Medicago truncatula: one gene and its partner. The protein of the gene in region 1 interacts with the protein of each later gene in a pairwise test. Links are inferred from orthologs where the notes say so. Each region holds a gene or a part of one and is shown in the gene's direction. Other genes may lie near its edges. The genes, in order: transcription factor TCP19 and abscisic acid receptor PYL8.

Region 1 (16,312 bases):
ATACAATTCAGTATCAGCCACTCAGATCCAGACACAAAACCTATAATAATTTAGAGAGACTCAAACATATTTTTTATCTCAGCAAATATATATATCACTATTTTATAAAAAGAATTATTTGGTTTTAGTTATAGTAAAATACTAAAAAAATGTGTTTAAGGATTAGTCTCTCAAATGCAAAATTTCTAATTTTCTTTTCTTACTAACATGAATTTAGGACTTTCCTTAGCAAGATCCATGAATATAGCATGGTTTGTTTTAGTCTTTAAAACATTTATTTATGTTGTAATATAAGGACTAAAATGAATAATTTCAAACCAAACATATTATACCATAACTAAAAGAAAATACTAATGTCCAAAAACTTTTGTTTTAATCGGGTATATTCTACGTGTAATTTTAGAGACTAATCTTACGGGAATAAAAAAACTCGGTTATTTATAAATAAACCTACTGCAACTGGATATCTTGTAATATTCTGTATGTAAGTTTCTCAAACAGAAAGTATCAATAATTCCAATAGAACAAAACAGTCAAACATCCATATAAAAACCAGAATTGTCTTTGAGTGTAAACAAAACAACAAAACATAAAAAATGCAGACATCACTTAACCAAAAACCTGTCTCTCAAGGTTGCTGTCCAACCTTATTGTTCATCAAATCATCACAACAATCTCATAACAATTCCACAACCAAACCCAGAAACAGTTCTTCACATTGCCGCCAAACCTTTGCATCAACATCATCCTCAATTTTTCCAAACACCAAATTCACAAACCATGAATCTCTTCCATCACTTCATGAATCATTCACTGAATTCATCAAAGTGTATCCACAATTCTCTGAGACTGAGAAAATTGACAGTTTAAGAGCCAAAGAATATTATCACCTTTCTTTCTTAAACCAATCTTGTCTTGATTATATTGGTATTGGTCTTTTTTCCTATTACCAACGTCAACAACATGATGCTTCAAAAACTCAATTTTCTTCTCCTTCAACTTCAACACCGTTTCAATCTCCACAACAATATTCTGATATTCCCTTCTTTAGTATTTCCTACAAAACTGGAAATTTGAAGACTTTATTGCTTCATGGAGGGAAAGAGTCAGAATTTGAGTCTGCAATGAGGAAAAGGATAATGAAGTTTCTTAACATTTCTGAAAATGATTATTTCATGGTTTTCACAGCAAATAGAACATCAGCTTTCAAACTTGTAGCAGATTCATATCCATTTCAATCTTGTAAGAAGCTTCTGACAGTTTATGACTATGAGAGTGAAGCAGTGGAAGCAATGATTAGTACTTCAGAAAATAGAGGTGCTAAATCTATGTCAGCTGAATTCTCATGGCCAAGACTAAGAATTCAGTCAACAAAATTGAAGAAGATGATTGTTAGTGATAATAGTAAGAAGAAGATAAAGAAGAAAAATGGTCTTTTTGTATTTCCACTTCATTCAAGGGTAACAGGAGCAAGATATCCTTATCTATGGATGAGAACAGCACAAGAGAATGGTTGGCATGTTTTGATTGATGCTTGTGCATTAGGACCAAAAGACATGGACAGTTTTGGTCTCTCTCTATTTCAACCAGATTTTCTCATTTGTTCATTCTACAAAGTTTTTGGAGAAAATCCATCTGGTTTTGGTTGCCTTTTTGTCAAGAAATCTTCTATTTCCATTCTTGAATCCTCCACTTGTGCAGGAATTGTCAACCTTGTACCAGAAAGTACGCAATTTAATCTATCAGAAGATTCTTCATGTAATAATCAAGTAGGAATTGGTCAAAAATCACCATCTATTTTACAAGAACAAGAATTATCTGCTTTGAGTTCTTTCTCTGGAAGGATGCAAACTCCACAATTTGTAAAAGTTGAAGCAGATCCAAAAGCTCCACTAGGTTCTGAAACTATGGAGGCAAGGGTAGTCGAGAACAATCAAGTTAAGACTGTACAAGATAGTAAAAATGAGAGCTTTAACATTGAATGCAGGTGTTTGGATCAAGTGGACTCTTTAGGATTGACACTGATAACCAACAGAGGAAGGTACCTTATAAATTGGCTTGTGAACTCATTGCTTAAGCTAAAGCACCCTAATGATGAAGGGGTTCCCTTAGTCAAGATTTATGGTCCAAAGATAAGATTTGATAGAGGTCCTGCTTTGGCTTTCAATGTTTATGATTGGAAAGGTGAAAAAGTTGAGCCTGTTTTAGTACAGAAACTTGCTGATAGAAACAATATATCTCTTAGCTATGGATTTCTGCATCATATTTGGTTTGCAGATAAGTACTCAGAAGGGAAGGGAAGAGTCCTACAGACAAAAGAAGGAAGAGGAGAGAAAGTAATGGTGAATAAAAAGAAAGATAGAGATGATTTGGGAGTGACAGTGGTTACTGCTGCATTAAGCTTCTTGGCTAATTTTGAAGATGTGTATAAACTATGGACTTTTGTTGCTAGGTTCCTTGATGCAGATTTTGTGGAGAAGGAGAGGTGGAGGTACACTGCTCTTAATCAGAAAACAATTGAAGTTTAATTACTACTCCTATGTAAATTTGATTTATTCTTCTTGATCTTTGGATTATAGAAAACTGAAAAATGTGTGAACTTGAATGAAGATTTTGTGTTGATTCTCCAAGGGAATTAATCAACTTATTCGCTCATTTATCTGACAAGTTCGCAAATTATTAGACATTAATTTATCAGTTCAATATATTTACTTTTACTAGTTTCCTGTATCTTATACTTGCATGCTTCACAGATTAAATATGCAAACTATTTCAAGAAGAAAGAAATCAGTAAACCCTTCATATTATTCAGTTACAGAAGTGTAGGTCTCACCACTATCATATTATCCTGTAAAGATGGTTAGCATTAACTGTCTTTGAACAGATAGTAAAGGGAGAATTGCATTGCATCTGAGGACCTATAAGGAGTTGATTATTTGGTTGTTGTGCTTCACAACTTGTATGTATTTTCTTTAATGATCAAACTGTAGTTTTGGTACATAACAAAATTTTAAATGGAATAGGTCCAGAGTCATAATAATTATCCTTCTAAATAATAAATATGCCAACTCACAACCATTTCTAAGCATATGCTAGGGCTTTGAGCTGAATACTAGAGTTTTTATTCAAGTACTCTATTATAGTTACTGTCGATATGAAATGGTTTGCCTCGTGTTTTAAGCTTGCTCTTCTCTAGGTCTCAAGTTCGAATCCTCTTGTGCTAACAATACCTGTGTTGGGCAAACTCCATGCAGGGCTTTGTCTTGCCTTCAATTGAGTCCCACTAGTGTACGATGGGATTGGTCATCCAGATTAATCGGTCTTTAGATGGATATACGGAGTTAAAAAAAAAAGTTAATATCGATGTAATTCATATAAATAATTCATATAAAGATCAAGCCATGCCAGTTCTGTTGAAACAACACAAGGAGGGTTGAAATCAATGTTGTAAGGTATTGGTGGTCCACAAAAACTCTATGGTTATGATGCAAGTAAACACATATTGGTTCAAGGTTTGAATGGACCTGTCAACAAACAAAGTCATGTCTCACTATGTCTTTGTTTGAATTTGAAAGGTTTGCAATTGAACTTTAAATCAATTTTTTTAATATGTTTGATCCTACTAAGACATGTAAAATAATTATTTCAGAACCCTTTCTGATTTGGCCGCTTAGGCACGTTGCAAGAGCTAGGAATTTAAATATCAAGGTGTGTTATGTTATGTTGGTATAAAAATAGACAAGAAATTAAAAAAAAAAAGAACCAAGTTCGAATGGAATCGTCATATTGAAAATTTTAATGAGAATAAAAAACTCTACTGGTAAATCAGGCAATAAGGGATTTGACTTTGATACCCTTAATTCTTTGTTCATCTTGTTTTGACTTGGACATTGACATCTAAAAATTGTTTGAAGTCTTGCATTTATATCCTTATTAATCAACCACGTCCAAGGACGAAATGCAGGCGATTAATTAAGAAGATAAACTCAAGGTCCTTGATAGAAATTTTGGCAAGTGTACCAAATACTATCGAAGTAGTAAAAATATCGTTCCCACGAGGACTGTGTTAATCTCAATTTAGCAATAACGTTAATATCTAGGATGTGTAAATTTCTTTTAGTGCCCGAGGCAGTAGTTTTGATTGCATAAATTTAAATAACAGAAAATAAGATAGTTTTGGAAAAGACAAGAAGAGAGATGAGATCAGGTCTTTCGAATCATCGATGTTCCCCTAATTGGTATAATGCACCTATTTGTATTAATGATTTTCTAGTTTCACGATAGTTAACAAAATAGCTCTAATCAATCCCTTGAGTTAGGACCCTCTTCTCAAACTACAGCCCCTAATTCCTTAGGTGGTCTAATAATTCTCGAAGGTTTAAAGCACGTTAACCTAATATCACTAACAAACGATTATCCATTCCTAGACTAACCATGTTTATTAGAACAATTCAATTAGGTCTAAGTCGAAAGCTAGGGTCAGTAGTCATTCGTTCTCACTAAATCATGTTTATATTTGATCAGGATATAAAAAGCATTAAGAACAATTGAATTGAATAAAAACTAGATTGTCATTAATAATAAATAGAGTTTCACAACAACATGGATCAATTAGGGTTACAAGAAATCATCTCAGACCTAATCTCTAAGAGATTTAGCTACTCATAATTGAGTTTACAAATAGCATAATCAATGGAAAAATTAAAACATACATAAACTGGATTAGAGATGATGAAATCGCCCCTTCTGCAGTCTTCTGGGTGTTAAAATCGCACTTTAGCTCTCCAAAATCGTAACCCTTGTTTTCAGAATAGTCTTCAGCTTAAATAGGCAACATTTTCTGCGTCCAAAATCGCGCCACGCCTCATAAAATCACGCCACGATTTTGAAAAATCACGCCACCAGAAATCGTACCACGATTTCCGTGGCAGAACCAAACCTTCATTCTGGTCACAAAATCGCGCCACGCCACTCAAAATCGCGCCACAGTTGCCAATTTCCAGCACTTCCAGAATTTCTGCTTTTTACACCCCCAGGCTGTCTAAAATTGCTACAGACTCAATAAAAACATCAAAACAACTGTTTCTTCAAAATCTTGTATTTTTCATGCTTTCCTTGTTGTTTAAGCTTGCTTGTGAACTCAAAATTATCATAACAAGACTCTAAAAATAGCAAATGACTGACTGTCATCAGTCCTATTTCAATATTTGAATGCAAACAAATAAGAACTGAGTCCCAAATTTAAACAAGGGAACAACTTTATATCGTGAAAACTATGATCTTGAATAACATCACAACGACATACTTGAATTGTAGTCAAAGTCTCTACTTTTTAATCAAATCACCATGTATTGTGTCAAAGAAACATCAAACAGTGATAATTTATTTGTGAAATATTCGTGAAATTGTGTTCGCTATGAATAGCAATCCTCTTTAAATAAATCAATTTCCCAAAATCCCCAAATACTCTTATATGTTGACAATTGTTGTAACGCTAAAATTGATAAGATTTGAATTCCGACTCCTTCACTTATTTGTAAGTGAGTTTCAATGATTGTTGTCATTTCGTCTATCTAAACATTTGTATCTAGTAGTGACATGTCTTATACAATACCTGAAAGTTGGCACAAGATTTCAAAACTGGAACAGCATGTAAGGAACAAGATTATTGATGTTCCCACATCAAAGGAGTGTAAGAAACACCACCAAAATAGCAAAATAACCTCATCGATAATTAACTGCCGATAAATTTTAACCGGCGGTCGTTAACTGCCCATGAAAATCGAAGTTAAATTTACCATTTCACGATGTTTCTTAACTTTGTGCAAAGTGTAAACAACAATTTTCAAGGAACAAACCCATTCCTAAAAGCTCAACCACATATTAGTGTTCCAGCCCAAGGTAATTGGCCCAGTGCATGCATGGCCAAAATCACCACGTTGGATTACCCATGACATGGATTTACTCATAACACCCAAATCTGGAAAATATCATGGATGTACCTAATTTGCTTAATATATTAGTATCATTTCTGTGCGATTCTATCTTATTATTTTAATTGAAAATAACTAAATATGTTAAAAATATTTTTTATGTTTATGTTTTTTATTGTTACCCTCCGGTTTTTAGGGTAAAAGTCAGCCCTATTAATATCGAGTTCGGTCGAGAGGTAGTGAAGTCTTAAGGTAAGTTCTTGTTCTTTATTTTCCAGCTCTTTACATTCTGTCTTTTACTTTCATGTTTTTACATTTTAATCTCTTGTCAACTAAGATCATGACTGAGTAGACTTTTCTAATTGGGATTGTTGGAATAATCTTTTTTAATGATTGAATCCTAATGTTAGGTTTCTCTAATCTAATCTCATCATTATTAAATTTTTATATCAAATTTCAAACGAAGAACTAGGAGGTGAAGTTTAATATTAGATCAAATGAGATTAGATAAGATAAACAAAACATGAGAATAGTTTTGTGAGTTTTTGGACAATAAGGTTGCACTCAAAGAGTCTCAATGATAATAAACCATGAGGATAAGCTTGATTATTGTTGAGATACATTCATGTATTTTGAGATGAAACATGAAATACCAAAGAACACCTTGTCCTTAGGAATAAATTCATTATAAAATAGAGAAATAGATGGAGAATGTTTAAGATTTAACATTATGATGAAAACTTCAATCCCATGACGTTTTTTAATATCTGAACTTTAATCTAAAACACCATTACTCTATTCATTTTCAACTAATCAAAACTAAAAAAATTAGATTGATAATTACTTTAATTTCTTGTGCATAGATATTTTTACTACTCGATAGAACTGTGCACTTCCAAAAACCTATCATAGACTAGCAAACTTTCCAATATAAAACACCAACATATCATCAGCATTGAATGAATGGGATGGGACTCTAACATTTCTTGTTTAGCTAATTATCATAAAAATTGGTATGTACTTTTTTTATCAAGGACAAAAAATTAAAAAAGTGGCTTGAAATATCATTAAAAAACTTGATTATTGTTTTTTCGAATAAGTTAAACTAGCACATTTAAATTGATACTGATAAAAATTGATCTAAGATCTTTAAAAAAGTACACTCTCTAAGATCCCAAGCAAACATTAACATGCTAACTCAAGTGGATTTAAAACATGATTTTTTGTTAAAACAAACCAATTTTATTCTTCTTTTGTCTATAACTCGGTGATTTGAGTTAGAAAAAATCAATATATATATATATATATATATATATATATATATATATATATATATATATATATAAGATTTTGGGCTCAATATCTGCTACTATCAATTCTATTTCAAAAAACATTTATCTTTTCTTAAGAAATTGATTACTAACATTTGTCTTCTTTTTTATACAATCACTAGCATTTTTTTAAAAGAATGATGTTTATATCATTTCATTACCAATAATTTGTTCAATATAACGAAGTACATTAGTATAAATAATGGGACTGGCTAATAATGCGGCCACCCCTGCTAAATGGTGAGCTTCCTCATTGACTTGTCTCCGAGTAAACTCGACCTTAGAGTTGGTAAACTTGGTGTTGAAGAGACGGCGGCATGTAGAGAGAACCTGGGCAAACTCTATGATGTTAACGCGATGACCATTAAACGCATCAGTATCAGTCTTGGAATCCAAAGAGAAATTAATATTGTCAAAACCCATGTAACCCATCCATTCATGCGAATAAAAGAGACCCAAGGCTTCCCCCCACTGGAATAGGACACACATGGGTAACCGGGATCACTTTAGCAAGCACAAAAACACATTCGTCATTGCGAATAGAACTACATATCCTTGTTCTATTGAATTGATTCGAAATAAAGGCATCTATGTTACATTAGAAACGACCATGTTGTGGTCTTTGCCAACAAATTTCAGTCGTACCTGAAGTAACTTCGTTGTTCTGAATGGTGGGAGAGAAAACAACACTAGATGCACTTGAGGTAAATGTAGTAAGCGTGTGTTGTGGAAGCACATGCGACATCTTAGCTGCCATATGAGGGGTGTTAGCCAAACTCCAGTCTTCGATTAAATGAAAAGCACGATCAATAACTTCTGGTACTATTTGGTGACTTCTTACCGTAGCTATAGATTGTAGTGCTTCCATAAACTCCACAAGAGAGCTGCAAACCTTTGGGAATTGTCTCGCGAAAGTTCCTAAATGGTAGATAATATTGCATCTGTTGCCGAAGATGTGTTGTTGTGCACACTATTAATCGTATCGCCAATTTCGCTTCTATGCCACACCTGCGCAACAAAAGAACAATTGAAAATAACATCGTTAAGGTTTTCAAACGGTTTGTTGCAAGTGACACAATTAGTAGAGCAATGCACTGCTTTATCTTAAAATCCAACATGTGTCGGCAAACAATCTCTGCACATTCTCCATATTAAATTTTTAACCTTCGGAGGAACCCGCAGCCTCCAAACACCATCCCAATTAAGAAATATAATTTTCCTTCTTTTCAAATATATTGATTATTTGTATCATTTAAATTTTTCAACAACATTCCTTTTTATCCATTAAGAAGAAATCTACGACTGTTGACTATGAATTATACTTTTTATTTTGAAATGGAAAATAGGAGCAAAACTAAGAGGTAACTGCGTGGCATCATCCCATCCATTCATCTAATGTAAAAAGTATATCCAGCCATTAATCCTATTTCATTGTGCAAATAAATACTGATCCTGAGGGACCCTCTCTTCCACACGGATATGTGGGGCTCTCCACCATTGTTAGGGTTTGTTGTTTCTCTCAATCAACACAATTATCTTTTTTTTTTTATTTTTTATTAACAAAAACCTCTTCGAATTCTCAATTAGTCTTTCTAATCTTTTGCAGTGCCTGAAAGATTCAAACACAGTCAACGTATCAAAAACTCTGTTTCTCTGCAAAACAAAGTAGGCCCCAAAAAAAATGATTTTTTTCTTTTCTTAAATTTGAAATCTTTTTCTTTTTTTTTTCATCTGGGTTTTGATCATTCCTTAATGGGTCTTTGTTAAATTTTTATTTGTTAATTTTTGTTTAGGATGGAAGTGAACCCTAACGGCGGCGATGTTTTATGTGAAGAAAACAAAACTGACAGTACTGAAGTATCTCCGTCGGAGACGACGGAGCCTGCGGCGGCGTTAATGAAAGAAGAGCTAACGGAAACGGAAAACAACAGCCTTATTCCGGTGCCGGTTCAAACGATGACAGTGGCGGCGGCGAAGAGGTCATCGAAAGACCGTCACACGAAGGTGGAAGGACGTGGTCGGAGAATCAGGATTCCGGCGACATGCGCCGCCAGAATCTTTCAACTGACGAGGGAGCTAGGTCACAAATCCGACGGAGAAACAATCCGGTGGTTGTTAGAACAAGCTGAACCTTCTATCATTGAAGCAACTGGCACCGGAACGGTGCCAGCCATTGCTGTTTCCGTCGGAGGTACGTTAAAGATTCCAACATCATCTCCGGCGAGACCAGACGGTGAAGATGCTCCGGTGAAGAGAAGAAGAAGAGCTTCAAACAGTGAGTTTGTTGACTTGAATGATCAAGTTTCAATGTGTTCGGGATTAGCACCAATTGCTCAAACCGCATACGGTGCCGCCGCCACCTCCAGTGGCGGTGGTAGTGGTGAAAATGGTGGTGGTTTAGTTCCATTATGGCCTGTTGTAAGTAACGGTGTTGGGTCTAATACAACAGGACCATTTTTCATGTTCCCAAATTCAACTCTAATGAATCAGCCACAGTTTTGGGCTATTCCTGCAGCACCATTTTTCAATGTGCAAACAAGACCTATTTCTGATTTTGTTTCTGCTATGCAAATGCCACAAGAACCTTCAAATGCTGCTACTGCTTATGCAAATTCTAATGCTTCATCTACTTTGGCTCCTAGTTTGAGTTCAGCAACTTCAACTAGTTGTTCTGCTACTACTTCTTCATCCTCTGCTACAAATACTCAGATGCTAAGAGATTTTTCTTTGGATATTTTTGATAAGAAAGAGCTGCAGTTTATGGGTTGTTCTTCTGCAAATTTGGAATCATCTCCCTCTTCAAATTGAAGCTTTAAGTTGGTAGAAAAATGTGCTTAGACTTTAGAAGTTAGAAAAGCTAGTCAATATCTTCTTTTTTTTTTTTTTTGAAAATTGGAGCAGAAAAGCAGAGATAGCTTGTGTCTATCTGAATTTTGTCTTTTTGGTTTTTGGCCAATGCGAAAGAACACGTCTTGAATTTTTGTTTTTAAAGAAATCTTTTTTGTTTGTCTATTTATCTTATAAATTTTATTATTTCTGCCTTTAATATTTATTATGGTCATTTTTCATATTTATTATTGAGAGTAAAAAATAATCAAAATTCTAACAAAAATTGTCAAATAGTCACTTTATATATTTATTGTGGGTTCAACTTATATAATATTTGGGGCGATATTGGTCAAAGTGTACAAACAAACAAAAAAGTGTGGTGAAAGAGAGAAAAGAAATTCAGTTGTGACATTAATCATTGATTTTTTTTTTTTTTGAAGGAGACATTAATCATTGATGTAAATGCATTTGTTAATAATTATTGAATTTTAAGTATGTTCTTTGGTGTGCCACCATCTAAACTTTTTTAAAATATACAAATTGAAATGATCATTTTTTAAAAATATTATAGAAAAAAAGGGTTTATTAAGTTTTTAGTCCTTATAAATATTCACAGTTTTGTTTTTAGTCCCTACAAAATAAAATCACACTTTTTAGTCCCTGTGACATTTTCCTTAAGTATTTTAGGGACCAAAAATCTTGATGAAAATTTTTACAGGGACTAAAAATGCTGATGGAAAAATTTTATAGGAACTAAAAATGTTGATGAAATTTTTTATAGGGACTAAAAAGTATGATTTTATTTTGTAGGGACTAAAAACAAAATTCTGAATATTTATAGGGACTATTTACTTAATTAACCCAAAAAAAAATACATAAATTGATTCAGAATAAAAAATAAAATAAAACTTGTTTTTCAAAATGCAAATGTAAAAACCACTAATAACGGGAAGAAAAAAAAAACGTCATCGTGAGCATGGAAAATGAATAAGATGAAGTTATAGACAAGTGTGATACAATTCTGAACAAATAAGATGAAAATTATATATTAAATGAAGGAAATGGAAGAGTTTGTTGTTCTTTTAGATGAAAATGGAAATTGATTGAAGAAAAAATCAGTGAGGTCTGCATTATTTCTTGTTGAATTGAGGATAATTTATCCATAATGACAAGTAAAATTCAATTTTAAAACAAATGTGATAAATATCACATACTATCAAATAAAGGAGATGAAGAAATTTAATATTTTTGAAATGAAAATGATAACAGATTGTAAGAAAAAATATGAAAAAAAGGTTTTTTTTATATTAAATTAGCATGTTTTCTTTTTTGGTCAAGTTAAACCTCAATCCATATATCTACTAACTGAGTTAAATTTACACGGACTTTGTTTATATTTTCTATTAAACAATGATCTTATATCATCGATAAAAATGTGAATTCTTATTTTATATTGAAAAAAACGTAGATAAATAACCTCAAGTTTGGGGAAGTAGGCAGTGCAAAAAGAAAATTGAATTTTTGAGTCAAAGGTAGTGCCAGTGGGTCCAACGTCCCACCGTGCGGGGTCCAGTTTACACGTGCGAAGTCGTTTATAATTATCCGATAATTCTTAAAACGGTGTGAGGTTTGGGCTACCTAGCAGTGTGCGTGGCATTAGAAAAATGGGATCTTAGAAAGGTCACGTGAGTTTCTATCAGCACGTGATGTTTGTGGGCCCCAAAAATGTGGGTGGGGAAAGGGAAGGGTCCGTGGAGCATGTTTAGTGGCTGAACTTGGGCCACGAGATTTGGTCACGTGATTGCTGGATTATGGCACGTGCCCCTATGATTTTTTGGGACCCTCTCGTGTTGTGGAACCAAGCTGGCCCCAGTACACGTGTCGACTTTGCTGTTATGTTTGTGGGTGGACCAATATTTTGTCCTTCTCAAGGTACTTATATATAAGTGGTGAAATCAATAAAGTAAAGGTATGCAAAATGAAAAACTCCCTCCGGTCTAGTGGTGGAACCTGGATTTTTATAAAGTTCAAGCAAAATAAATTCACAATACATTTAAGAGGATTTACATAAGAAATTGCAAGTAAATAATCAAAAATCTATAAAAATTGTCCAATTTATAAGAGATTATATAAAAAATTCAGGAGAACTTACATAAAATATTGCAAAAAATTTGGGCCACTTGTCCGGACTCGCCGGACTTTAGAACCGCCACTACTATCTCCTTTCATTTATGCTACCAATTGCCCATAATTTACCTTGTGTATTATGACAAGAAAATTATAAATTCCATGACATAAAGTGTGGATGTTCCTTTGCATCACAAGTCTACACATCCTGCTAGTCCAAGTTCCTTATACCAGATTCCTATACATTTTACATCTAAAGCACCTCTGCAAGCACACCTACATAATTTGCAGCACACGCAAATAATGCCTTCAGTATTTTATAACTTGTTTAATACCTCAATGGCCAATTGAACAAATACTTGTGATGACTGATGAGGAGCTCAATAGTTTTGCATGACCCTGTGTTTCATCAAAAGATGGCCAATGCCTTTTATGTAAGTGCATGTGTATCCCAAAGACTGGTCCATGAATTTAAGGGATGGAGCAAAAAACTGCATAAACATGATATGCAACAGCTCCTCACTCCTCACCCTGATGGAGCAATCCAATGTAGATGTTTTCAGGGATGGTGTACTGATTGGGGGACGGAGAATGATCATCAAGTGAGTAGTGACTAAACAATGCGGCGATATTCAAGAAGGATCTGGTTGTTGTAGACGGTGGCGAAGCTGACATAAATTTTACGAGGGGCCATATATAAAGAAAATATATATACTTTTAAAACCAATATATTAAACTTAACAAAATGAAGGAAAAAAAATCATAGTATTTTTTACTTTATATAAAATGTAAATTAAAGCAGCATAAAGGAAATAAAATAAAACTATCAATATATAGCCACTTAGGCAAGTTGAGTTTGATCCAAAGCTCACATAATTTAATTATGGAGAAGTGGGGTGTCCGGAGTTCGAAATCACGGAATACCGATACCTATTTTAATATATACAATTAAGTTGTTTGTAACAAAACTCATTCTGTACTTAATGTCAAAAGAGAGGTGTTATCTAGCGACAAGTATTGTCCCGAGAACATCCTGAAGCTGATGTGTTTGATGCTGGAAGGGTGTGAAATCCGGATGTAGTGGAATAAAGAGTTGTGGTAGGTATAATTTTGGTCAAAATAATGACATGTCCTCTCGTGAAACAATTCGCTATGTTTATCATTATCCATGTCAAAATATGACGATTAAATTTATCAATCAAGTGATAATATTTTGACTTTTCTATTTATGTTCGTTTTTCCTCTTATTTTTTAAGAAATGCTAAGGACACACTCTCAAACACACTCTTTTAACACTCTCCAATGACATGAGGTCACATCACCTCCATTTTTTATTCTTTTACCTGTTAACCTGTTCTACAGGTTGAGAAATAACAACGTTTTTTATTTTATTTTTTCTTTAACTTAGACTCTGACTTCATCTTCTCCGAGACTCCTTGCTCTCTACAGAGGAAAATTCTACAATTCTTATAAAGGTGGATCTGCCATGGGTATTCTGTTCATGATTTTTATAAGCATCGGATTCATACAAACAATTTTTTTACCTTGGATCGAAAACCTGATACGAGGGAGATAGATTGTGGTTTGTATTGAACCTATAAACAAAGGTACCCAAATCTGGCCTGTTTAATGGGAACCCTGTTATGAAGTTTAATTAGAAAGATTTAGGCTTTGATGTTTGAATTGAGGAAAGATTGTGGGGATTGAAATTTGATGAAAAAAGATTGTGGAAATTGAAGTTTGAAACGTGAATTTTATCCAAAGTGAAAAAATTGTTTGTATGAATCATGTTTTCTATGGTGATGTTTTTAGGTTCCATTGTTTAATCCTGAACTTGAAGAGTCTGTTCTGGATGGGAGGTTGAAGCGCAGGAAGATGAAAATCTTTAATTACTATTTTTTAGTTAAATCCAAATAATAAAAAATAATAAGTAATAAATATAATGAAGGATGGTGGAAACCGGTTGCAAGTCATGGTGTTAAAAAACTGGATGACATGGCAAATTGTGAGTGGAGTGTGCTAGAGGGTGTGACCCTAGCATTCCTCTTATTTTTTTCATTTGAAGAGATAAAGACACACAAAATTTTGAAAAAAGTAAAAAATAATTAATGATGATGAAACTTAATTGATGGTAGAACTCACATCTTATTTTTTTTTGTGTATCTCTTTCTAAATTACATCATCCATTTATGTTATTTTCAACGATGGAGACAATCCTTATTCATCTGCTTGTAGTAATAATTGTCTTCCATTTATGTTATTTTCAACAATGGAGACAATCCTTATTCATCTGCTTGTAGTAATAATTGTCTTGCTTTTTTCAATTTCTAAGTTGAATGTGTTCGGTAATGCTTGTGGGTTTTGTGGTCGATAAACTATGATCCCCATTTTTTTTTTTAATTTGTAAATTGCTCTATTCAATTATTATCGACGAACAAGAAAAACGTATTCACAAAATAGAATATTCCAAGGAGAAGAGAGGAGTATATAGATACAAATTTTATTGTTTTAGAATGATGATATAATTGTGAATGCAGTAACCGAAGTTGAAAATTGAAAATTAAAGTTTTTTCTTGATCTTTTAATTTTGTACATGTAAATAATTTGTATTTTGTTTTTCATGGCTACCACATGATAGTCGCCCATTGGATGTTAATGTGACTTTTTTTTTTTTTAATAAAGATGTTAATGTGACATATCATCAGTGCTAAAGGATAAAGATATTTGATTTTGCAAGAAGTAAAACAAGAACAAAAGTACAAGGACCAATACCAGAATTCACTGGGACTTGCCATATATTTAAACCTGTTTTTAAATTGTAACAGGAGGCAATTATTGACCAATTTTCCATTCACTCAACCAGAGCAGCAAATTTGGTATGGTGTAAACTGTGAAGTAACAACAATGTTCGTTTATATTTATTTTAGTTTTTTCTCCAAACCGCCCAAATTAGATAGCAATTTTTTCGTGCACACTATTATACTCCATCCCTCGTCAACTAACTGCACAACTCAACTTTTGTAAAATATAAATCTGTACAACTCAACTATCCTGAAAGGTATATATCAACAGAAGAATTCTGGAAACAAAATGCTACCAAACATTTTTAATGTACTTCTATTTTGCGGTACACCTGAATAATAATAAAAAAAACAATTTTACAAGGAAAATAAAACCTTGACAGCCTCAATTATGAAGCCCTTGACATAGTCGCTATCAAATTGTTCTGTACTTTTAGTTGATTATTACTGAAGGCATGAGTCTTGGTGGATTGATATACTAGCAAGGTCCTAAAGCAGAACAAAGGGAACTCCAAATTCTGTACTTCTAGGCTAATATTCCAAACTTTGAGTGGCTTCAAAGTACAATAATCTGAGTTAAGCATGTATTTTATTTGCTGAAATGGATCACCTCAGTTCTATATATACCCTAATACATCTTTCCATGAAGTTCTCATCCAATCCTCATTTTACAGTTCTCAAGCTATTACCTGGTTTATCAAATGGCTCCTCTGCCAGCACAAAACACCTTTCCAATCCTTTTCCTCCTCTTTACAATATTTGCATTATCCAAAGCTGAACTTCATGCCCATTACTATGACCAAACATGTCCACAATTGGACAAAATCATTTCAGAGACGGTTCTAACTGCTTCTATCCATGATCCAAAAGTCCCAGCCCGTATTTTGAGGATGTTCTTCCATGACTGTTTCATAAGGGTAAGTATGATCGCTCAATCTCTCATTTAAAACACACACTCACACACATATATGCTATGTATAGTTTTTTTTACCAATGGGTTTGTAATCTTCTAATGATTAATGTTCAATGATAGGGATGTGATGCATCAGTGTTGCTGGACTCAACTGCCACTAACCAAGCAGAGAAAGACGGCCCTCCTAATATCTCAGTTCGATCATTCTATGTGATTGATGAAGCTAAAGCAAAGCTTGAATTGGCTTGCCCAGGCGTTGTTTCTTGTGCTGATATACTTGCTCTTTTAGCAAGAGATGTGGTTGCCATGGTAATATCTATCTAAAACTAGTTTAGACCTGCTACAATCTTGATACTTCTAGGAAGCCATTTTATCCAA
Region 2 (18,008 bases), on another chromosome or scaffold:
ATGGTTATCATAAAAACGCGCCACATTTAGGCTGGACACACGTGTTCCTTGCCGGATGATGCAGTTCCATTTGCCAAAAGAGATTTCTGTAAAAACAATATAAAGGTATGTTAAATATGAACTATAGTGGTGAAAAAATAAAAAGAAAGAACATGAAATAAAACAAAGCATTACCCAATAAAATTGGATTACGAACATGGTTGATCTGGAGAATTGTCCGAATTTTCTTGCTCATTAACAGAACTACTTGAGCCTTCAACTTGACGTGATGCTTCTTCTTTACCCTCTAAGAGAACCAAGCACAAGCAAAGGCACTTATTATAATCCATAGTTTTATATTTATAATGATATCCTCATGAAAAGTTATAGAGAAATAGTTTGTTACAAATCTAATTGAAATAACCATTTAGATACCTGGTTGCTCATTTTTCCATCTGCAATGATTTCGACCACGGCTGGAAAACCTTTCCCTTGAATTAGAATTCAAATTGTTTGGCTGCCTGTGGAACTGACCGGGTCTAGAAGATCTTCCCCTTGAATTAAAATTCAAATTCCCTCGTCTCTCAGATATGTTATATGTGTAATTGTGATATCTCTGCATAAAATTTAAACATTAAAAATATATTATGCTTAATTGAAATAGAACATTTGCAGGTGAAAGAAGGGTGAAAAATATTAACCTCATGGTAAGCAAATGGGTTTGGCATGAAAGTTCCGATGCCTCCACTAAATATGGGAAGTGAATAAGGAATGCATTGGTTTATGTTGCTGTGCAAATCAGAAGTAAATGGTGGTGGCATACGAGGAACTGTGGGAGGCACAACGTTCTCAGAACCTGAAGGTCTCCAACTCCAATAAAATGGTGCTCGGAAATCTATTGAATGTAAAATAGGGGGAGGATGATAGAAAAGCTCCTCTAATCGTCCATTCTCACAATACCGTCCATACAGAAGATTCTTCCAATAGCTTTCAAAATCACCATATAAAATATCATAAAAGTGGTTCAAAAAATAATGCGAATCTTCAACATGGCTAATATTCTCATGCCTGAAGATGTCCATGCTCACAGTTGATGGATCATGGACGTCATCAAGTTGAGTAGGCTTCAGAGCTGAGGATGATAGACTGCACTTTAATGTTGAGTCCGAAGCTGGAATGTATTTACAACTTGTTGTTGGTTTCATCACATTACTATCTTTGATTATTGCAACAGTTGGATCGACACTATCTTTTTCCACTTTAAATGATCGTTTTCCACTTGAAGCAGTTTTTGATTGAACAGCAGATTCTGGACTAGAGCAACAATCACTAGCAAAGTGATGATGCATGGCATGACTTGATGAACATAGAGGGCTTTTGTTTTTATCAGTAAGTGCTTTTTTCTTGGAACTTGTATGTTTTCTATCACAACTCAACATGTCATCGGTCCTTGAGCTTCGGGTATGAGAAACAACAGATGCATCTTTTAATTCTTCTAATTGATTATCAGACTTTTGGTAAATACCCTGAGATTTGAGAGAAGCTAGATCCAGCTCATCCTCAAATTCTTGACATGTTAGCTTTCCAACTTTTTTATCTCTTATATCAAGATTATAAATGCTGACACGAATCCAAGAACCATTCCCATGTCTATTCCACGTGTTCTCGAAAAAGTGATCAAATTCAGAAATCAGATACTCATCGGTGCAGTCCAATATTCGCATCATCTGTTCAGCACCATATGCAATTGCACTCTTTATTCTAAAGAAATTACCTGTAGAATAGATTATAACTAGACAATCAGATAAATTACTCGGAGATATTATAACCAGACAATCAGATATTTAGATAGAAGAAGGATCACACCAGTAATAGGAAAAATAAGCTATCTTCTTGAACACAGACTAGAATTAAAAAACATGAAAAATATAATAAAAGAAGAGAGAGGCAACACAAATAATCCATCTTCTAACTTATATAGATTATTAGTCTTGAAATCATATCTAGCTACAGGTCTAACAGGGCATCCAAAATTTGCAATTGTTTGGATCCACTGATATATTATTTAGCATAATTTGGAGTTATGTATACTTAGAGATTTTGTTCATCAAAATTACATTTATTAATTTATCACACTCAAAAGTGGAAAAATATCAATGCTCTTAAGAATATACTGTAGACACTTCATACACCTTCTATATTCAGCGAACAAATCAACGTTCTTTTTCTTACACGTATGTAACAGAATCATCTTTGATAAAAGAATTGTTTCAATGAAGGTTTTAAAGTGAAATACCTCTACTGATGCTATGCCCCAGGTTGTTGTTTTCCTGCAGAGGATCAATAATATTGATGTGTTTGGAAACAAAATGCTTCTCTCGATTTTTCTGGTTGCGCCAACCATAACAGAACTTTGAAGCAATAAGAAAGCTTTCTGTGAGCAGCAAGTCTTGGCGATCTTTTCTTGGACAATCAGCTATCGCAATTTTGAATTCAGAAAGAAAAAAAAAAGAGTAAATGCTATCATTCATAATGAAGAGAACATATTATTCAAGATATATGATCAACTCAAGAAATTTTTCCACATACCAGTCATATTAGGAAGTGAGTCTAGGGGCACTGGTCCACTCAAGCTAATGCAATAGTTTCCCCAGTCAAATTTACTAAAGAACTCCAGAAATCGAAACAGTACCTACGATATGCCAACAATAAGATCAAAATAACATAAATTTTATCTTCTTATCCTTCATAAGCCATATTAATATTAATATATACATCAAAATAATCAAGTTTGTCACCTCAAGTGGTCCAACAAATTCATTGTTGTAAAGATTAAATAAGTATAGGACTAAAATTTCCAACGCATAAGTTGAAAAGAGTCCACTCTTAGAACCCAAGAGACGACTCTCATGGTAACACCAAGCTTTTATCAATATAACACTGCGCTTGAATATATGATTCCGACTTATCAAATAATCAACCTGCAATAATCGATTATTTTTTAGAGATCTTGCAAAATAAAAAAATATGCTTGAAATCACAACTTACTATAATAAATATTACCTCGTCCAAAAAACAAAGTGAGCATAAACCACTCAATTGGTTGAAAGATATGTCAATTACAAATTTTTCAACCAAGCACTTAATGATCTTCACCTGGCATTGAACAACAAAAAACACGCGAAGGTTGAAAAATATTTTTATCACGTTTTTTTTTATCAATTATCGGAACAACTTTTATATTTGGATACTCATAAATACTATACACGCATTATTTTCTCTCTATCTCTCTGTTCCTATCACATTTATCACATCACTTAAACAAATTGTATATGAAAATGCATTGCATTGGATAAGAAAAAAATACCTCTGCATTGACAAGCTGAACCTCTTTAACCCTAAATTTAGAAAACTCGTTGTTCATTTCACTTTCTAATATTTGCTGAATATGAGGGATGAAAATTTCAGGAAATAGTTCATTGTTGCCAAAAATTGTGAGATCAATATCTCCATCACGTAAGTAAGTCTTCAAGGGTACTGATCCAAATTCAAAAACCTGTTATTTAATAAATAAGTCGTCCCGTTATTATTCATACAATACTATTATTCAGATATAAAGAGAAATTAACTTGTTGATATTAATTAATATTAAGTTGGTTTGAGTGAAATTAGACTCAAATCTCTAAAGTAAGATATATATTAGATTCGAGTGTTGTAAATTAAATAAAAATTTGGTTGAAAATGAAGACTTAATTAAAGTTGGTCAAGTTCTTTCAAAAAAAAATTAAAGTTGGTCAAGTTATTAGATTTTTTTTTGAAAGAAAAAAATAAAGTTGGTCAAGTTATTAGATAAAGATCGGTTAAAGTAAAAAAAAAAAAAAAAAAAAAAAAAACAAGTATAGTGCAATGAATATCCAAAATTTTCATTGAAGAAATCCAACATTATGAAATAGAAGTACTAATAATTATTCTCTAACACAATTTTTAAAATAGTCTCGTCTATTCAGTTGAAATTTAAATTTTACTAGCTAAATTATTATAGATTCGGTAAAATTTAATTAATAGAAACAAGTGTGTTAAAAAAATATGTGTTATACATCATGACATAGCATTTTTCTTTATCAAAATGCAACAACTTGGGTGGATCTCTCTCTCTCTCTTGACAAAACAAACATGGATCTCTTATTAAAAGAATTATAAAACAGTCAAGTTTTAATGTCAATAACATGCATGCCAAACACAGTTAAGTAGTACGTAAATCATAACTATGATGAAATCTATATGGCTTCAAAATACATACATTAATGAAAGGCTCGAGATATTTTCGGTAACTAAAAAATAATGAATATTGGGGTGCAACACAAGGATTTCATAACTATAACTACACTGATATATAATTAATGAGTAGAAAATGAAGCAGATTTTACGTACCTTGACAGGGACATGGCTGATGATGAGGCCCTTAATGTAAGATACAATGTTATTTCGAAGCGTTTCTGATTTAGGATTGGGCTCAAGAAATTGAAGCAGCTCTATAGTTCTATCTTCAACTTGTGACCATTTGCTTCTTTCAAGTACCTTGGGAACAAAGATTTCTTCACTACATAGGAGACCATTTGGAACTAAATTATTCACCATGGTTGGTTTTGTTTCCTGCATATATATGGACCAGGAAATGAAAAAGTAATCAAGTGGTTAACGAGATGACAAATCATTTGAAAGAACTCAAGTTCGATATATGATAGTATTAAGTTGAGCATAAGCTAATTAGCTCAACAAAATTGTGAATAATCCATTAAAAAATAAAAACAAACCTTTTAAGTACTGGCTTTAAATATAAGAGATCTATTTCATTAGATCGATAAATAATGTATAACTAGAGACATAAAATATAAGAGATCTATTTCATTAGATCAAACCAGGCAAATAAATCATTGAAAATAGTTCATAAACATTTTGCTATCCATACACAATTGATGAAGTAATATAAAATAAGTTACATCTATTGTTAGGCATATCAAACTGCTTGACTTTATCGTAAAAAAATAATGACATTGCATAATATTGAGTCTCAATGTAATCCTCTCCTGTAATTGTATAGATCGAGTTGGATAGAGAGAGAATCTTACAAAAAAATATTATTATTTTATTTTGGTGGGTCAATTTCTCTCTTCAATTGATTTTTTGTTTTGTTTTTGAGGCACTCTTCAATTGTAATTGTCTAGAGTTACATTATTAATAATGTAACTCTAACAACATTGTAGCATATCGTTGCTTTGATCCATTAAAAACATGATTGCCAATAGAAAAAGAGATGACATCCAATAAAATCAGCAAATTAAAAGCATATTGGATCTTCTCTTTCTTGATCTAGTCCAAGCCCCATCAAAAGATGAGAATCAAGGAAGAAAAAAAGAAGAAAATTATTGATTTCATGAGTCTCACATAGAAAAACATAAAACAATAAAAATTTCATAAAATCATCAAAAGAAAAGAGATATTGAACCCTAAGTAAGATCTCTTTCAAATATTTTGCATAGTCGATAAGAAACAACATTAAAATTAAATATCAACATTGAAGTTTGAGATGATAAAAAGGAAGTTTGTGTGAAACTTACAAAAGCAAATTTGGATCAAGAGGTGAATGAAGAAGAGCAAAAGATTGCAAAATAGTCGATTAGTAACGAAGAGAGTTGAAATTTTTCTAAATATTTGAGTTCGCTGTGAAGTAACGAGGTTTGCAAATGATGGAATTTATTCACATGCCAAATAACCTGAGATACTAAATTGTTGGTTTAACGACATCATCATCTTGAAAACAGACCAAACTCAAACCGATAGATCACAAAAAGTGTTGGTTTAATGGCGTAATCATCTTGAAAATAGACAAAACTCATTCTGAATTTCACAAAACACGAGGATAACTATGAGAGACATTGGTACTTGTGAATAGTCTAAATGTTTTATTTTGTTTATAATACACCATATGCCTTTAATATAAACACTCAATGCATATTTTACATATACTTCGTCCGACCACTTAAACAAAAATGTATTTTTTAGATCATTCGTTGAATAATTGATGCATCTGACCTATATTTTTGTCGAGATACGACAGTTTTTCGATGAATCTAAAAAATATTTTTTTTTATAATAGTGACCAAGAGAAGTATTAAAGAAGTCAAAATAATTATTCGCATAAAATTGAGGATGACTACTATATACATTGGTATTTGTGAATAATCTAAATGTTTTATTTTGCTTCTAATACTCCCTATGTCTTAACTATATGCACCCGTTATATATTTCACGCACATTAGAAAAAATTGGTAGTGTAATTCATGTGTATATTTTGTGAATAATTATTACGATAGTACCCTTTATTTTAATTTTTCATATTTTAAAATAAATTAGTAGTATTAATTAGAATTATGTTTAGAAAAAAATAAATAAATATGCATTTGAAAGAAACTTTATATTTATGGTCAAAAAAGTTTCACAAAAGGTGCTAATAGATAGGGACAAAGTGAGTATAAATAAAAAAACTAACATTTTGATGGAAAATATTAAATCACTATTTTTTTATTGATTAAATCACTATTTTTAATGGCAGTAAAATTGACCTTATATAAAAAATAGTAAAGTAATTTAAGAATTGAACAGGGACTTAAATATATCCCACCATTTTTTTTAGGGAATCATTAATGTTTTTATTATTAATGCTTTTATTATCAATTCTACATTTTATAATAAATACTTTTCATTTTTAATGAAAATAAATATCATGATACATTTAATATTTTGTTTCTCCTTTTAATTTTCATTGTTAATTTATTGAAGAAATTATTATTTTATAATCATGAATATGAATTTTCTTTTAAATTTTTAAAAATTAATTATATTATATTATAATATAATAAAGTTTTCTTAAAATGAAAACAAACAAAACCAGAAATAATATATCACAGAAACCTATGACAACTATGATAAGCATTGATACTTGTGAATGGTTTATATATTTTATTTTATTTTATTTCTAATACGCTCTATTCTATAATTATAAACACTCATCGCAGTCCTCGTGAATTTAACTTAGTTAGTAGAAACTATAAACAATATATAATATATGTAAGGTTTGAGGTTCAAACCCTAGTTACCACAAAAAAAATAAAAATTATCATTCATCGTATATTTCTCATATATTAAAAAGTTCATAATGATATTTCATAAAAATCGATGATGATTGTGATATGCATTTATACATATGAATAATTTAAATATTTTATTTTATTCGTAACACTCTCTACGTCTCTACTTATTAATACCCGTTGGATATTTCAGATATATGAAGAAATAAACTTTTTTAAACGGATTTGGTTTTGACTTTTTATATTTGAAAATAAATTATTGGTATTAAATAGAGATATATTTATAAAAAAATAGTAAATACACTTAATAACTTGGAAGGAATGTTTATGCATATTAACAATTTTTTCTTCTTCTCAAAAGATTCTTATAGATGGAGATGGAGGGGGTATAAATAAAAAATTAATGATTATATAATAAATTCTTTTCATTTTTTGATGAAAATAAATTTCATTATTTTATAATACATTTCATATTTGGCATCTAATTTTCTCTTAACTTTCATTTTCATACTTAATTTATTTATGAATTTACCATTTTATAATCATGCATTTAACTTGTCTTTTAAATTTTCAACAATTCATTGTATCATATAGTAATAAAATAAAATAAAAAGATTTTTTTTATAATGATAGCAGTCAAATCTCATAATGATGATTCAAAAAAATCAAAGATGATTATGATAAACATGTACTCCCTCCGGTCTCAAATGTAGGGAAAAAAACAAAAAAAATTGTGGTCTCAAATGTAAGAAAAAGTATAGTAAAAGCAACCTAATAAATGCTACTATTCCAATTTTACCCTATCTCCATGAGTTCAAAAGCCACTTTCATTAATTATTACTAAAACATGACAAGGGCAAAATTGGAAAGTTGTACATTTTTTAACATGATTTCAATGTAATCAATTCATTTTCTTAATTAGTGTGTTTTTTTTTTCCCTACATTTGAGACCGGAGGGAGTACTTGTGAAGACTTTATCTAATGTACATAAGTAAAATGTTCTAGCAATACACAAATGTATTTTTTATGATTGAATTAAGGAGAATGCTAACTAATACTCTGATAATCTAAAATTCGACAACAATGTAAGTAAAATCTGACAAAAATTGTTCCACTCTCGAATTAAACTCATGTTCTCATGAATAATTTTTCATTGATGAAACTCATTAACCATTTAAATCAAATTGTTTGGTTATAAGAGCTCTTAAGTCATTATATTATGGTGTAAATCTATACGATAACCATTTTTATAAATAATTATCAAATATTCAATTCTTATTTGTTCCCTCAAAATAAAAAAATCTTATTTGACTTTAATATAAGTAAAAAATCTTAGAAACTACGTATTTAATATTTTAAAATTTTATCTTTTCTTTACGAAATTTATCTTTTTACAAATCCTAGGATCACTTTGTAAATAGATGACATAATGGAGGGTTTTTCAGACATCTCAGTCCGAGTATCAGAAAACGACAACAGCACCAAAAAGAAGGACAAACCAACCAATGGCGATATGGTAATAAAATCTCAGTAACAGTAAGTTGGTGAAGTATTCAAGGAAACAATGAAAAACACACATTTCACATTTTTGTTTTTTTCTCCTTTTACTTTCATCATCATTTTCATAAATTAAAAAAAAATAAAATAATTCAAGATAGATAAATGAGAGAGAGAAGAGTTGTTGGTGGTGGATGACGGTGCAACGCGTTCCTTTCTTTTTTTGTCAAACTTCTCGAACCTTCCATCGTTGAAACTCGCCGGAACGGAAATTCGATCTCCGATCGTCGGAATCAAGACGTAGTTATTCGTTCTAGATTCGATCGCCGGTGGCGTTTTGCGTTTATCGGCGATGGAGAAAATGAACGGAACTGAAAACAATGGAGTGTTTAACAGCACGGAGATGGAGTACATCAGAAGACATCACAATCAACAGCCAGGAGAGAATCAGTGTTCTTCTGCACTTGTTAAGCATATCAGAGCTCCTGTTCCTCTTGTAATCAATCTTACTTTACTTTTCATTATTCATTTTCCGTTTTTTATTTGGTTATTTCTGTTTTTTTTTTTTTTTTTTTTTTTTTAGCTTTTTGGTCTATGAATTGTTGATAGTTGAATCTCTGGAACACCGATACATACTTCTGATGAAAGGCGTGTCTGATTTGTCGGTGTCAGACACTTACACTCTCTGACACGATGTAATTACATTCAATTAATTCATTTTTCACTGGAATGCACAATATAGAAACTATGTTGATTGAATTAAATGATTCTCCTATGTTTATCACTGGAAAATTGCTAATTTAGTTTGAATTGACAAGTGATCGTGTGTCTGGTATCTGACACGTGTTGGTGTGTTGGTGTCTTACGCCGACACATGTGAATTACATTCAATTAATTCATTTTTCCAAATTTTTACCAGTGGTGTCTGTGTCAGTGTATGTGTCGTGCTTCATACTTGAATATGATGATGATCTAGTTATTTGTATCTGCAATCGATATTATGATGTGAAGAGTTTGGCTGTGGCAATGTGTAATGCAGAATTTAGAAACTATGTTAATTGAATTGAATGATTCTACTATGTTTCTCAATGGAATTGTTTATTTATTGCGTTTATTTTTTTCTTTCTTTCTCTAGGTATGGTCTTTGGTGAGGAGGTTTGATCAGCCGCAGAAATATAAACCATTCGTGAGCAGGTGTGTGGTGAGGGGAAACCTTGAGATTGGGAGTTTAAGAGAAGTTGATGTTAAGTCAGGGCTTCCGGCTACAACTAGTACTGAAAGATTGGAGGTCCTTGATGACAATGAGCATATTCTAAGCATCAGGATTATTGGTGGTGATCATAGGCTTAGGGTATGATTACTTCCTTACCATAATTTACCTTCTTTATTCTTTTGTTGAAACAATAAAACATTTCCTCAACCACTCATTATGATGAACTAATTATATATGTTTGTGTGTGTAAGACACACATTGCATCGGTAGAAACAGAATATACATAATTAATCTCTGTTGGGAGCTTTAAAAATCTCTAATCCATATCTGGGATGTTGATACCGTGAGGGAGGTCTATTAGTTCGTTGTTGAGTGTGTACATTGTGTTTCATTCATATAATTGACTGAGTGCAATCATGTGTGCTGTTGTAACAACTAACAAGATGTTGAATAGTAGACTTCATTATTTTGAACAGTTATTATATTTGTTGCATTATTCCAAGTAGTATAAGCTCTAGCCAGTAGTATAATATTATACACGTCATTTAGTATATTTGGGGTGGAAGGAATTTTTGTTATCCTTTTGTCTTTATGATGGTAAGCCTGGTACTTGTTTCCGATGCATATGATATCTACTTTTTTAATGTTTTCTATCATAATTTAAACTTGAAACCTGCAAACTTTCACTGCATCTCTTCAAGAATTTGCTTCTCCATTCTTGCTCAACTGATAAGTAGCTTCTAGATTTGCTTTAAGATGCAATATCCATAGCTCAAAGATCTGAGCTCTGATATTAGTTTATAGGTACATGGTCAAAATAGGAAGGAAATAGATGAATGAAGAGATCATTATTAAATAGCTTATCTCTCAACGAGATAATTCAAGTTAATAGAGACTGAATGTTTACAAGAATTCCCAATTCCCGGAAATTTAAAAGCCTGGTCTAGTCCATGTAAAACTAACTAACCAGCTCACTGCTACACTTAGGTTCTGTCCCTCAAGTTATATGCTTTTTTTTTAATGGTCCCACTAGTTATATGGTAACAGATATTCCTAACACTGTTTCTTATCATATATTGCTCAGAATGGTATAAATTTGATTCTATTTTGAGTCATGTGCATCGTTTTACAAAGGAAAAATATCTGTTAAAGTGCCGCTTCTTCTGCTGGCGTAAAGTTAATGTAGTTGTCATTTGTCAACAAGATCCTTGATGTTTGGTTCTTCTGGTTTACATTGTTCCCTGTGTGTAGCTAAAACTTTCATTGTCTAGGAATTCAACCAATTGTCAAACCAAGGACATGTTTAAGATTCCATGAATTCTTAGGCCACTAATTAACTGTCATAGTTTGCTAACTTTGAAACTGATGTTCCTATATTATGATGTCACTAGAATTGCTTTATCCCAAAAGCCTAAGTGCTTATTTATCAAAAAAAAAAAAAAAACCTAAGTGCTTAAGCCACAAGAATGGTTTAATACAAATACAACCAAGATTCCCCTGAGTCAATAATCTCTCTTCACTTTGGAGATGTTCCTTTCAAGGTGTATAATTTTATTCCCAAGAGCACTGTCCGGGAATGTTACTTTGAGGTAAATTTGAAAACATGTTTGGTCCGCATTTAATATTTTGGGAATACGTTCAAAATTCAAATGATGCGAGAAAGAATTGGAAATTAATATTTCTAATATACCTTTCATTCCCATGCTATGTGAAAGAGTATATCCACCTCTGATTATGGAATATAAATCAAGTAAAACATGGAAGGGTCATTTTCCTAGACTCAATATTGCCTTAGATTGTTTTCGTCAAGGCTTGCACTTAATTTGGAAATGTCATATATTTTTATTTCTTTCTGTTGCATGCTACAGTTTACCTCCTCCTCCACCTCGCTTAATTAACAACAAAAACGATCTTTTGTTTTTCAGAACTACTCATCTATCATGTCCCTCCATCCAGAAATTATTGATGGAAGACCAGGAACCCTGGTAATTGAATCTTTTGTGGTAGATGTACCAGAGGGGAATACCAAGGATGAGACCTGCTACTTCGTTGAAGCCTTAATTAAGTGCAATCTCAAATCACTTTCAGATGTCTCAGAAGGACATGCTGTGCAGGACCTCACTGAACCACTTGATCGGATGCATGAGTTGTTGATAAGTGGCTGAAAACTTTCTGCCACGGATGAAGCTTCAGGGGCTTTCCGATCTTGGAGGCTTAGGAGACGGACTGGCAAGTGGAAATAGTGTCTGTTTCATATGTTATAGACTTGTAGCATTTGCTTATTTGGTCTGCTTTATTAATTTCTCTGTTATATATGCTGGTTTCTCTCTTTGGTAGTGTTAAAGAACAGAATATTTTAGACAGGTGTCTGAATCCAGTACAGTAAAAGGTGAAGAAGGAGCATTTGCTTCAGTGTGATCTTCATGTCATGTTCTTTCTGTATATAGGTGCTGGTGAAAGTTGGTCTGTAAAATTGTTTTGATTAGTTGCAGTAAAATTCCATCATTTAGCTGAGGATACTTATATATAAACAGATCTCAGACTTCTTTGTTTCATTATCTAGCAGCATTATTATAACTTTATCGAATTCAGCAATCATATTTATATGAAAGAAACTATAGAAATGTGTAAAGAGTGAAAAATCAGAAAATATGAAGAGATTTTGTTTGTTTTTGTGTGTGTGGCCATTATGACATTAATTTAGACCTGGTAACATATTAAAAAATTATTTATGATCAAAGGTCACTTAATTAATGTGAATGATGATGATAATTGGATGTAACACAAATGATTCCGTAAAGAAAACTTTTTTTGTAGGCCGTTAAAAAGAAACTTAAATGATACGCATAATATTTTTTTTTTTAAAAGGTGTATCTCGAGGTGAAAGGAACAATTGTCGTAAAAAATAGATGAAAAAAGAGTAGAGGGGTGATAAGGAAAAGGAAGAGGATAATTAATGCTAGGGTTCTATTCCTCATCCCCACGAGATTTAACCTTATCAAATGGTTTGACATTGGTGCCGCCACGTTAATGATTTTGGATATGATTATCTGTGAAAGATAATGGCTGTTCGTTGTTATTTATTCTTATTCAAAAAATACGTAGAAATATACAGTTGTTTATTAGATGAATTATGTATGGGCAATATAAAACACTTGCATATCTATCCAATGAAGTGATACCATAATGTCATTTGTTACGTTACTTTTCAATTATTTTAAACTTAAACATCAAATATTGTGTATTTCATGGTTTTTATTTTAAGTGAGTTAAGTTATGAGAGTTCACTAGGAGCATGACATACCCGATACCTTAAGGCTCATAGTGGTTACAAAGGTATTCAGAGATTGTCCACCAACGAAATTCTAAAGCTAACAACATGAGTTGAACCCACGTTCTTGAGTCCATCTTTGCTCCATTTGGGTTTGCTCCATTTACCCAATTTACCATCATGGATGTGTGACATGTGGCAAATCAGAAAACCAAGGGCTGGATTAAAAGGGTTGGAAAATGCATTTGTTTTATAAAAAACAAGGGTACGCGCTTTTGTTCCAACTCCACTCACGACCCTTCTTCTTCCTCTCCCCACATCACTTCTGTGCTTCTCTCTCCCACTCGCCGGCGCCGGCACCGTCGCAGCCCTTTCTGTTCATACAGAAGCGGTGCCACCCCCTTCCTTTTCTTTTTCCGATACATGCAACATGGATTGAAATCGATTCTGTAGGATTTTATTTAGGGATGTTTCTCCCTTTTTGGTACTTTTCTCTCTTCAGGACCAACATATTTTTCTGTTAAATAAGGATTGCCGTGAAAGAGTCTGTTGCAGTTGCCAAGTATCATCATTCTATCGAAAGGAAACCTAGAACAAGGCCCGATTATAGTGCACAACCCACCAAGAAGAAGAAACCCATTACAGAAAGAGATTATGATACTAGCATTAAAAGTGCCTCGAAAATTGTTTAGCCAATCTAGGTGAGAAAGAAAATCCTTTGCTTATAAGGATCCCTTGGTGAATTCCAAGCTTGAGATGATAAAGAAGGAGCATGCACCAGCAGACAACAAACGCGCGTGTGCTTTTTCCAACCTTTTTAATCCCAGCCCTTGATTTTCTATTTTGCCACATGTCACACATCCATGATGATAAATGGGGTAAATTGAGCAAACCTAAATGGAGTAAAGATGAACTCCACGTTCTTATGGGATGAGTCAACTTTGTATCAACCGGACCAACCTAGATTGGCTAGGTGTTTAAATATTGTTCTGACAATGGCAAGGAATGAGAAAGGAGAGCAAGAGTCACAAGAGATTTTTTGAAAGACAAATTAGTTTAGTTTAATATAGTAATCTGGGGAACTGGGAAATAGAATACTAGCAAAGATAATCAAGTATTTATTAAACCATTATTTAAATAAAATAACAAATATTGTGGTGACCGGATATCAAAAGCATAATTTTTAACATATGCATCGACAACTTTGTCAAAAAAAAAAAAAAAAACATATGCATCGACAATTATTCCGAATCACATTTATATTTCAAATGAGGTTGCATGTGATAAAAAACTGGCAACCAAACATGCCATTAAGTTTCCATGTTAGAAAGTTAAATAAAGCTTATATTCTGCCATCCATTTTTCATGTTATTTGTTTTTAATGAAAAAATAATAGTAAAAAACAACTGCAGTCACGAACTCACTATCCAAAGCTAAAGAGCAAGCAATATCATAAGATACTACTTATCAGAATTATTTTTCAATACCATTTCCCAGACAAACTAATTGTATCCAGACCTAACCCAAAAAAGACCCGAACAGAACATTTTGTTTGGAAGTAAGCCAACTAAAAGTTGATGGCCAATTGCATGCCGGTTCCCATTCAAAATACGCATATAAAAAACGAAAAAATGAGAAGTATCCTATTTGAGGTTCAAAACATAATCAAATGACAGCCAGTTTCACCAGATGGGAACTCTAATTCGAATCACTTCTGCAGAGGCTAGCTGACTCTTGGTAAATGTAGATCTATTGAGACACAGAAGCACGCTATTGAGTACGATCAGATCCATATGCGGGCAATGTGGATGTCGGTTGTAGCATGTCATGATTTGGGAAATGCATTCCTGGTGGCATGTTTCCAGGTGGCATTTGCATTGGCCTTTGTAGTGGCATGCTCCCAGGTGGCATTTGCATTGGCACATTTCCAGGTGGCATTTGTAGTGGCCTTTGTAGTGGAATGCTCCCAGGTGGCATGTTTCCAGGTGGCATTTGCATTGGCCCATTTCCAGGTTGCATTTGCATTGGCCCATTTCCAGGTGGCATGTTTCCAGCTGGCATGTAAATGTTATTGTGCATCTGCAATGGCATAGATTGAGCAACTGTTGGTAGAGTTGTTCCCCATCCTGCCTGAGATTGGGGTATCATAGCCGGGTCAGAAATTGGAGTATATTGAGAACCATTATACTGCTGAGCAGGAGGAACCGTCATGGGAACAGGTTGCCCTAAAATTGAGGGCTGAGTGTTCACAACTGGTATCATAGGAATGGTATAGTCTCTACTCCTATCATTATTGACCTGTAATTACAAAAATCATCGTTGAAATTAAACCGAATCTGTGAATTCATATTACATGCAGCAAGCTTACAAAATTATTAACCAGTTGATCGCTGCCATTGCTTCCCCTTCAGAATGTATAAAGGAAAATATAATACTGAACAACAAATCTAAAATTACGACAGGTTTCTTATATTAATATTATCACATTTTTTTTATTTTTTAAATACAGTCAAGAGATTCAGAAAGCTGTGATGTAGACCAATGATTATAGGGAACCTTTCAAGACTCAAAGTTAAAGGATTTTCAGTGAATGATACACTGACATCATCCCAGAAAGGAATATCAAGGTCTATAACTAGATAGTCCAGTTCTTCAGTATATTTAACTAAGAATAATCCCATTTCTCTCATCTTTGAGGTTAGGAATGCTGAGATCCTAACAAGTTATCATAATGTTTTTAAGGCATCTCCAATTCATATACTCTTTCAAGGATTCATTTAAATGACATCAATCCTCAGTCTGGGTTGATTATTTACCTTTATACTAAGATCTGTATGACGTGAGTACGAAAGGTGAAGCTTGCAAAAACCTCCATCATATATGCAGTGTCCTTCCAATGCTTCTTTGGCCACAACAGCTGTCTGAGTATCTGCAAGCCATAGCATGTAACTCTGAATTCTCAAACTTAGAATGACAGAATGACAGTACAAAATAAAACAAGGCAAGTAGTAAATCTCTATCTGCTGATAGGTTGAAATTCCCCATGTTTCGATGCCAAGTCAATGACATAAAAATGCATAGATAACACTTGAACTATCATTGTTATACCTATCAAAGATAACTATAGGCATTGCTGAGGAGATTCCTAGTGAGGAACATACCCAGAATCCTTGAGAAAACAATCATATCTTTGGAAATAATTTAGAGGAAAATTGAGAGACCAAGAAGGTGCAGCTACAAACAAGTATCTTTGTTAAATATTTCTATCCAAAATAAATCAATCTCAGTAGGATCACTTTTGATTGAAGGATTATTAGATCACAAGAGGCAGGATCTCCCCGGCAATACTGCAAACAAAGGAGTTCATCTACATGCATATGCAAATGCATACTGTAACACTTGCCAGTTTCCTCAATAAGCCATAAGTGTTCGATTTTTTTCATAGAATTGGACAACATAGAAGCACATTTGAGAACTTTCCCTAAATGCAATGTCTAAAGCTTTAGGTGATATGGATAACAGTCGGCAAGCACACCCACTTGGTTTGCATTTTGCACTAATACTACTAATGTAGAGTACAAACATAATATATCCAAATGCTGACCAGTTAAATTCTTCAAATAATCTTAGATCGAACCTGGATATTGAATCAGAGCCTGTAAACCACCATTCTTATCAAACATTGCAATCTTTTGGATAGGACCAAAAGCAGAGAAAACCTATCACAAACAAGAAAATTGTAGAATATTATTACCTAAGCTGTATTGTCAAAAGATACTGTAAAAACGGTTGTTCAGGCTTAAAAGTACCATATGTAAAACATCCAACGTTACAGCATATTGCATGTTCTCAATAGATGCAAGAAGAACGTTACTCTCAGCCTCCAGTCTTTTCCCATCCAAACCAATCATGACCTGGAAAAAAAAATTAAAAATGAGTACTTCAAAAAAGATCTTCAGTATGCAAAGTCCGCATACAAGGGAAACCCTTGGTGGAAGGCACACACATAACTGATGGTGCATGAAAAAAGCATTCAAGTTAACTTTAGCAATTTGGAGGTTTTCAATTACACAAAGCAGGTGGCAACATATCTAATATGCTATCCCTTAAAACAAAACAGCCAAAACGTTACCTGTCCACCTCCCTCAATGGCTGATTGAGCAACAGGAAGGTAAGGATTAGTATAGTCTCTGGAGCATGAAAAATAACCAATTAGATTATTTTTTTAATCAGAATAGAAAGTAAAAGGGATCATAGCTGATCAAGGGTAACATCAAATTAAAAAAGTCAGCAATGCTTTGTTTCCTGTAAGCCAGCAATACCAGGGAAAACAGAAATACCTGCTCCTGTGGCTTTGAAACTTCACAGTTAAATCTGAATGTCCAGAGTATGTGATCTTGAGGGTGCATGGTCCCACATGTTCAGAGAGCAGATATCTGATAATGAGCGAGATTAAAGATCAACAATCCAAAATACCAAAATTGAGAAATATTAAGAGCTAATTAATGTTTCAATAAACATCAAGTTTCAGCTCGAACTTGGGACTTCAATTTATTCAAGCGCTGCCCAGTTGGCACTCGCTAATCATATTGACTGATTGTCATTGTAAGGAGCACGGGAAGAGCTATGGGAAATGGATTGAAAGTTTAAAAATGAATGAACAATTTAGTTGACTGATAGTAGAAAAAAGATCTGCTTTTCCAAATTATACCAGAATGATCCTTCTATCCTCATATCCCCCCTATTTATTTATCAAAGAAATATCCTCTAACTGATTGTTCTAACTCCCCTAACTAATTGATCAATTTGATTCAACTTCCCCAACCACTTGTCATCCTTTTGTCACAATATCTAGCCTTCAATTTCATTGAGTGAATGATAATAGGAGTAAGAAATCTAT

Evidence for each region.
Region 2: the proteins of transcription factor TCP19 (region 1) and abscisic acid receptor PYL8 interact in binary tests that used the Arabidopsis thaliana proteins (3 or more experiments, as listed by UniProt). The link is inferred for Medicago truncatula from reciprocal best matches to the Arabidopsis thaliana genes AT5G51910 and RCAR3.

The regions. Positions count from the first base shown.
Region 1 is NC_053042.1:49,602,079-49,618,390, forward strand, and holds transcription factor TCP19, read left to right. Parts: upstream 1-8,633; 5' UTR 8,634-8,769; exon of another isoform or gene 8,770-8,776; intron 8,777-8,794; exon of another isoform or gene 8,795-8,870; 5' UTR 8,871-8,929; intron 8,930-9,057; 5' UTR 9,058-9,058; coding exon 9,059-10,072; 3' UTR 10,073-10,114; exon of another isoform or gene 10,115-10,163; 3' UTR 10,164-10,241; downstream 10,242-16,312. Other genes in the region: molybdenum cofactor sulfurase, read left to right, coding at 597-2,491, 3,255-3,327; uncharacterized protein, read right to left, coding at 7,701-7,768, 7,910-8,014, 8,106-8,382; peroxidase 66, read left to right, coding at 15,723-15,938, 16,055-16,243.
Region 2 is NC_053044.1:44,776,667-44,794,674, reverse strand, and holds abscisic acid receptor PYL8, read left to right. Parts: upstream 1-8,767; 5' UTR 8,768-8,976; coding exon 8,977-9,120; intron 9,121-9,759; coding exon 9,760-9,975; intron 9,976-11,762; coding exon 11,763-12,002; 3' UTR 12,003-12,414; downstream 12,415-18,008. Other genes in the region: polypyrimidine tract-binding protein homolog 2, read right to left, coding at 14,879-15,406, 15,925-16,037, 16,746-16,827, 16,918-17,022, 17,241-17,298, 17,449-17,544. UniProt on the Arabidopsis thaliana protein: Receptor for abscisic acid (ABA) required for ABA-mediated responses such as stomatal closure and germination inhibition.